Oryctolagus cuniculus: one gene and its partner. The main gene of each other region encodes a partner of the protein of the gene in region 2 in a complex. Links are inferred from orthologs where the notes say so. Each region holds a gene or a part of one and is shown on either strand. Other genes may lie near its edges.

The links. Proteins that work in one complex are often made in the same cells at the same time.
Region 1: the proteins of GLE1 (region 2) and ATP-dependent RNA helicase DDX19B are in contact, whole or in part, in a crystal structure (PDB 6B4J), measured with the Homo sapiens proteins. The link is inferred for Oryctolagus cuniculus from reciprocal best matches to the Homo sapiens genes GLE1 and DDX19B. Residues at the interface, in NP_001003722.1 of Homo sapiens: Lys416, Lys419, Met420, Gln423, Lys424, Thr427, Ile428, Ser431, Gln432, Ile433, Ser434, Thr435, Ile436, Lys440, Gln458, Ser459, Gly460, Lys479, Lys483, Lys486, Gln487, Glu490, Glu491, Ser494, His495, Gln554, Gln562, Asn565; in NP_009173.1 of Homo sapiens: Cys325, Asn326, Tyr328, Gly329, Ala330, Ile331, Thr332, Ile333, Ala334, Glu356, Gly357, His358, Gln359, Arg378, Arg380, Glu381, Gly382, Lys383, Glu384, Lys385, Glu400, Gln401, Ser403, Phe433, Gly434, Lys435, Arg436, Asp469, Asp470, Leu471.

The regions. Positions count from the first base shown.
Region 1 is NC_091449.1:56,909,025-56,913,040, forward strand, and holds the start of ATP-dependent RNA helicase DDX19B, read right to left. Parts: upstream 2,805-4,016; 5' UTR 2,764-2,804; coding exon 2,584-2,763; intron 1-2,583. UniProt on the Homo sapiens protein: ATP-dependent RNA helicase involved in mRNA export from the nucleus.
Region 2 is NC_091432.1:231,800,751-231,804,259, reverse strand, and holds part of GLE1 (mRNA export factor GLE1), read right to left. Parts: intron 2,336-3,509; coding exon 2,231-2,335; intron 1-2,230. UniProt on the Homo sapiens protein: Required for the export of mRNAs containing poly(A) tails from the nucleus into the cytoplasm. May be involved in the terminal step of the mRNA transport through the nuclear pore complex (NPC).

The DNA of each region.
Region 1 (4,016 bases), on a different chromosome or scaffold from region 2:
GGTTGCCCCTCTTCCAGGCCAGCTCTCTGCTACGGCCCGGGAGTGCAGTGGAGGATGGCCCAAGTCCTTGGGCCCTGCACCCCATGGGAGACCAGGAGAAGCACCTGGCTCCTGCCTTCGGATCAGCGCGGTGCACCGGCCACAGCGTGCCGGCCACAGCGGCCATTGGAGGCAAAGGAAGACCTTTCTCTCTGTCTCTTTCTCACTGTCCACTCTGCCTGTCAAAAAATTTTTTTTTTCCTATAACTGAAGGACAAGAATGCTCCAAATTTAAGAGACTTGTCTAGTATACAAGTAAAATGGATGCAAACAGACCCATACCAAGCAAGACATGTATCACTTTTTGTATCTGCTGAACAAACAGGATACTCCAGACTTGGAAAGGGAAAAACAACTCACATGAGGAATCATAATTGTCTCACACATCGCAACAAATACAGAAGTCTAGAAGGCAATGGAAAAATGCCTTTAAAATCTGGCAGGAAAGTAATTTTCAACCTACAATACTATTATCCAGATGATAGGACAAAATAAGGTATCTCTATACATGCAGTTTTTCAACAAAAAAATTTCCTTCCCATACACCTCCAAAAAGCTGACCAAAGGCTGCACTAAAATAAAGGAACAAATCAAGGAAGATGAAGACAGGGATACAGAAAGAAGAGGCTCTAACCCAAGAGAAAAAAGCAATTGCCAGAACAAGGCGAAACTAAATATTCTCTGTTCCCCTTCACCTCCCAAAATGCACTGCACTCTATACACAAGGGTGACTAGTTCAGTTTGAAACAAACTAACAGCCTGGGAGAGATGTAATTGATAGAATACTTAATTGGCTGAACATTTATTTATTTGGAAGGCAGAGTTACAGAAAAGCAGAGGCAAGGAGAGACAGAGATCTTCCATCTACTGGTTCACTCCCCAAATGGCCCAACAGCTGGAACTGGGCCAATTGGAAGCCAGGAGCTTCTTCTGGATCTCCCACATGGTTGCAGGGGCCCAAACACTGGATTGGAAGTGGAGCAGCCAGGACTCAAACCGGCACCCACATGGGATGCTGGCAAACATCTTGAGATAAGCTTAGGCAACTAGGCAGAGAGATTGGAATGAACTGATAATACATACAAAATACATGAAGCACAAACACAAAGCAAATAAAAGTTCAAAGGAAACAGTTTTATAGGAAAGTAGTTTTCATGAGTTGGTAGTATAAACATGGAATACTCTAAAATCACAATATTACAATGAAAAATGGCACAAAGAAAAGTGTGCATGTGTGGTGGGGGAAGACACAGGAAGAAGTCACAAGTCAATAAATATTTAAAACTGATTACTGAGGAAGTAGCAAAACAGGCATGTTATTTAGGAAATGAAGAGTAAATATTGCGGCTGGCGCTGTGGCACAGCCTGAAGCGCCAGCATCCCATATGGGCGCCGGTTTGAAAACCGGCTGCTCCTCTTTGGATCCAGCTCTCTGCTATGGCCTGGGAAAGGGTAATTTGCCAAAGTCCCTGGGCCCCTGTACCCACGTGAGAGACCTGGAAGAAGCTCCTGGCTCTGGATCAGCACAGCTCCAGCCATTGCGGCCATCTGGGGAGTGAACCAGCGGATGGAAGACCTGTCTCTCTGTCTCTACCTCTCTTGTAACTCTTTCAAATCAAATCAAATCAATCTTTAAAAAAAAAAAAAAAAAGAGAGCCGGCGCCGTGGCTCAATAGGCTAATCCTCCACCTTGCGGCGCCGGCACACCGGGTTCTAGTCCCGGTTGGGGCGCCGGATTCTGTCCCGGTTGCCCCTCTTCCAGGCCAGCTCTCTGCTATGGCCAGGGAGTGCAGTGGAGGATGGCCCAGGTGCTTGGGCCCTGCACCCCATGGGAGACCAGGAAAAGCACCTGGATCCTGGCTCCTGCCATCGGATCAGCGCGGTGCGCCGGCTGCAGCGGCGGCCATTGGAGGGTGATCCAACGGCAAAGGAAGACCTTTCTCTCTGTCTCTCTCTCTCACTGTCCACTCTGCCTATCAAAAAAAAAAAAAAAAAAAAAAAAAAAAAAAGAGTAAATATTGTCCATCCATCTCAAGAGAAAATTAAGTTGCCTCTCAGAAGGAAAAAATTCTTAAGAACCACAGTTTTAAAACTATTTGACTATAAATTATGTACATGCATAAACTGTTTTATCAACTACAAAAAAATAAGACAAAGGCTTACAGAAGTAAGTACTAACAGAAGTAGATACAAAGCCCACCAGAACACAGTGCTGAGGTTTGAGAAATTAACGCGTAACACATATTTTGCTTACTGTGTGTCAGTCCCAGAAGAACAGAAGGAAGCTAAGAGGACCAGGGGAGGCTTTCCTGGCTGCCAGACCCCCCTACCGCAAGGCGAGCGCAAGCTGGAGCAGTCCGGCAGGCGGGCGATTTAAGGATGGGAGCGCTCACCTGCCTTCCTGAGCCGGACTGCTCAGGCTCTACCATTCTCCTCCCCAGAACCCACCCCTGCCACGACCAGTCTAGGGGCTGTTCTTTCCCAGGGATCAAGTCCCCATCCAGAACTGGTCCCTTGACCCTTTTATGGCTGAAAGCAACCCACCGACTCAGCCGCCGCTTCCTGCTCGTCTACCGCCAGAGCCCACGAGTCGGTGGCCATGGTCCCCAGCGCGGGTGGGACCCTCGATGTGGCGGATTCGCCCGCGGGCACGACGCGGCCGTGGGCTCCGGGGCGTCGCGGCGAGCCCGGTTCCGGCCCCGGCCCCGCAGAGGGGGAAGTCATTCGCTGCCAGTGCTGGGCACCGGAAACGGCGCGCCGCAGTGACGTCAGAGCCCGCGCCCCGACAGCCGCCGCTCTCCGCTCCAGGCTGCGGCTTCCGCTGCCTCGAGACCCCCGCTCTCTACCCCTCCACGGTGCATGCTTTCTTCCTGAATTGAGGGAGTCCTCTTAATATGCACCAACTCAAGTCAACCGACTTCCCAACCATCGCGGCATAGCGTGGTGGCACAGAAGACGCTCACACAGATCCCACAGACCCTAACAGAAATGTAAACAAGCTGCTGCTTGGGTTAATGGCGTCTCATTTCAGAGTGTCAAGTGCAAGTTCTGGGTCCTCCGCACTTCTCATCTAGCTTCCTGCTAGGAGTGCACCTAGGAGACAGCCCAGGCCCGGGTGCTTGGGTTCTTGCCATATTAGTGGGAGACCCAGATGGAGTTAGGGGCTCCTGGCTTCGGCCTGGCCCCGCCCTGGCTATTGCCAAGGAGTGAACAAGGTGTGAACCACCAGATGGAAGTTCTGTCTCCCCCTCTCTGTCATTCTGCATTTCAAATAAATAAAGGCTACTTTTTTAAAAACTATTTCTGCAGACAAGCAAAAAAGTAAACAACATAACAGATATCTAGGTTTCCACCACAAGGCTTAAGAAATAGATACGCATCGAGATCCTAGACTCTCTTACGTTCACCGCCAACACGTCTGTTCAACGTGAGATTCTTGAAAGAACCCGGTTCCCAAAAGGAGGGCGCCGAGAAAGGAGAGCTGGGGAATAAAGGCACCCGGATTTGAATTCAGTCTCCGGCAATTGCTCCCCAGTGGGCGCAGGCGGCCTCGGCTTCCCGCGAAACCCCGGCGTGTACCCACCTAGCTCACAATTCTGCACGGCGCCGGGCTCACCAACAGGGCTCCGTGTATAGTCGCTCCCATTATTCCTTTCCCCTCTCCTCGGGGGTGGGAGCGAGAGACGCCCAAACAGGGGCGAAAACGGCCTCGCTTCTACCCGCACAGATACTCACATCGGCCACCGGCAGGGTGAGCGGAAACCGCCCCATGGCTCGACCTCGGAAACGGCCAGTCGCCCCAGCCATCGTAGCTCAGCATGGCGGTTAGCCTCCCCAACCGCCGTTGGCAGCCCCGGTGGAGCCCGAGTCTCATTGGCAGAAGCCAGTCCCGCCAGCCAATCAGCTGAGGGGAAGGCACATACAATTCCCGGGCATGCGCACACGAGGACTTTGGGGCCAAAGACCTGTGCTGGCTT
Region 2 (3,509 bases):
TCAGGATCACTGTTCCTGTACAGCGACTTTGGCCTGTGACATCACAGGCCCAACCTTTCTTCCTGTTGCTTTGGAAGAGATTTAGTTATTATTTATTTGAAAGGCAGAGTGACACAGAGAGGAAAGAGATACAACTTCCATCTGCTGGTTCACTCCCCAAAATGGCTGCAACAGCCAGGTCTGGGCCAGGCTGAACTCCATCTAGTCTCCCAAATGAGTGGCAGGGTCCCAAGTACTTGGGCCGTCTTCCATTACCTTCCCAGGAACACGAGCAGGGCGTTGGATTCAAAAGCAGAAGAGCCGGGACTCAAACCAGCACTGCAATGTGGCATGCCAGCATCATGAGTGGCGGTTTAACCACCGTGCTACAGTGCTGGCCGCGAACCTTCTTCTCTAAGAATTGTCTCCTAAGGGGATGGCGCTGTGGCGCAGCAGGTAAAGCCACCGCCTGCAGTGCCGGCATCCCACATGGGCGCCGGTTCGAGTCCCAGCTGCTCCACTTCTGATCCAGCTCTCTGCTATGGTCTGGTAAAGCAGCAGAAGATGGCATAAGTCCTTGGGCCCCTGCACCCGTATGGGAGACCCAGAAGAAACTCCTGGTTCCTGGCTTCGGATTGGCACAGCTCCAGCCGTTATGGCCATTTGGGGAGTAAACCAGCAGGTGAACCTCTCTCTCTGCCTCTCTGTAACTCTGCCTCTAAATTAATAAATAAATCTTGGGGCCTGTGCTGTGGTGCAGCGGGTTAAAGCCCTGGCCTGAAGCACCGGCATCCCATATGGGCACCGGTTCTAGTCCCGGCTGCTCCACTTCCGGTCCAGCTCTCTGCTATGCCCTGGGAAAGCAGTAGAAGATGGTCCAAGTGCTTGGGTCCCTGCACCCACGTGGGAGACCTGGAAGAAGCTCCTGGCTTCGGATTGGCACAGCTCCAGTTGTTGCAGCCATCTGAGGAGTGAACCAGCGGATGGAAGACCTGTCTCTGTAACTCTGTCTTTCAAATAAATAAAATCTTTAAAAATAAATAAATAAATCTTTTTTTTTTTTTTTTGGTCAGGCAGAGTTAGACAGTGAGAGAGAGAGACAGAGAGAAAGGTCTTCCTTCCGTTGGTTCACCCCCCTAATGGCTGCTACGGCTGGTGCGCTGCACCAATCCGAAGCCAGGAGCCAGGTGCTTCCTCCTGGTCTCCCATGCGGGTGCAGGGCCCAAGCACTTGGGCCATCCTCCACTGCACTCCCGGGCCACAGCAGAGAGCTGGACTGGAAGAGGAGTAATCGGGACAGAATCCAGCGCCCCAACTGGGACTAGAACCCGGTGTGCTGGCGCCGCAGGCAGAGGATTAGCCCAGTGAGCCGCAGCGCTGACAATCTTTTTTTTTTTTTAAAGACAGTTACGAGAGAGGGAGAGACAGAGATTCATCTTCCATATGATAACTTACTCCCCAAATGGCTGCAACAGCTAGGACTTGGCCAGGCCACAGTCAGGAACTTCATCTGGGTCTCCCACACGGATGCAGGAGCCCAAATACTTGGGCCATCTTCTACTGCTTTCCCAGGACATAGCAGAGAGCCGGATCAGAAGTGGAGCAGCTGGGACACAAACTGGCACTCATATGGCATGCTGGCATTGCAGTGGTGGCTTAATCTGCTGTGCCACAGTGGCAGCCTCCAATTTTCTCTTTTTTATGATAAAAGAACATCCACACAGAGAGGACAAGCAGAGTGGGAAGAAAAAATGAAAGCTGGGATTGTCTTATGACATGGGAACCTCATGCCCAAACTCATCAGGCTCAATTTTTATTTTTATTTTATTTTACTTATTTTTATTAACTTGAGAGGTAGAGAAGAGGGAGCAGGAAGGACAGAAACTGAGAGACAGACAGACAGCGAGAACTTTGACCTGCTGGTTCACCCCAGTAACAGCCCGTAACAGCTAGGGACCAGGCTGAAACCAGGAGCCTGAAATTCCATCCAGGTCTCCCATGTGGGCGGCAGGGGCCCAGTACTTAAGTCATCACCACTGTCTCCCACGGTGGGCATTAGCAGGAAGCTGGAATCGGAAGCAGAGATGGGACAATTTCAACCAGGCACTCGGATATGGGATGCAGGTGTCCCAAGTGCACCAAATCGTCATCCCCAGGCTGCGATTCTATACTGTGTCCCCGGTCATGTCACCCGGTGGTCCCAGGCAGCACTGACAGTGGCCTTCTCCTCTGTGCTAACCGAATCACATACCTCCAAGAAGTCAAAGAGAAGAGTGGCTGTGACATCGGATAGGGGCTCCATGTTCAAGATCTGTGCCAACCAGCGCCAGCCATGATTTAGACCATGAGGGTGCGTCTGGAAGGAGAGAAGCCTGGTCATGCCTTGGTTTCATTTACTCAGAGACCTAACTCCCAATGTTATCACTCAGTTATCACCAGCGCACCTCGTTACCGTCTAACAGGGACTGTTATCACCAGGACACTGCGTTACCGTCTAACAGGGACTGTAATTACCAGCACACTGCGTTACCATGTAACAGAGACTGTTATCACCAGCACACTGTGTTACCGTGTAACAGGGACTGTTATCACCAGCACACTGTGTTACCGTGTAACAGGGACTGTTATCACCAGCACACTGCGTCACCGTGTAACAGGGACTGTTATCACTAGCACACTGCATTACGTGTAACAGGGGCTGTTATCACCAGCACACTGTGTTACCGTGTAACAGGGACTGTTATCACCAGCACACTGTGTCACCGTGTAACAGGGACTGTTATCACCAGCACACTGTGTCACCGTGTAACAGGGACTGTTATCACCAGCACACTGTGTTACCGTGTAACAGGGACTGTTATCACCAGCACACTGTGTTACCGTGTAACAGGGGCTGTTATCACCAGCACACTGTGTTACCGTGTAACAAAGACTGTTATCACCAGCACACTGTGTTACCGTGTAACAGGGACTGTTATCACCAGCACATTGTGTTACCGTGTAACAAAGACTGTTATCACCAGCACACTGTGTTACCGTGTAACAGGGACTGTTATCACCAGCACATTGTGTTACCGTGTAACAGGGACTGTTATCACCAGCACACTGTGTTACCGTGTAACAGGGACTGTTATCACCAGCACATTGTGTTACCGTGTAACAGGGACTGTTATCACCAGCACACTGTGTTACGTGTAACAGGGACTGTTATCACCAGCACACTGTGTTACCGTGTAACAGGGACTGTTATCACCAGCACACTGTGTTACGTGTAACAGGGACTGTTATCACCAGCACACTGTGTTACCGTGTAACAAAAACTGTTATCACCAGCACACTGTATTACGTGTAACAGAGACTGTTATCACCAGCACACTGAATCTCCAGGTCATCTAAACTAAGCACATGCTCAGACAGAAGTGGTATGAGCTAAATCAGTTCTGTTTTTTGTTTTTCGTTATTCATTTAAATTTACATATTTATTCTGAAAGCATTACAGAGAGGAAGAAACAGTGATCTTCCATCTGCTG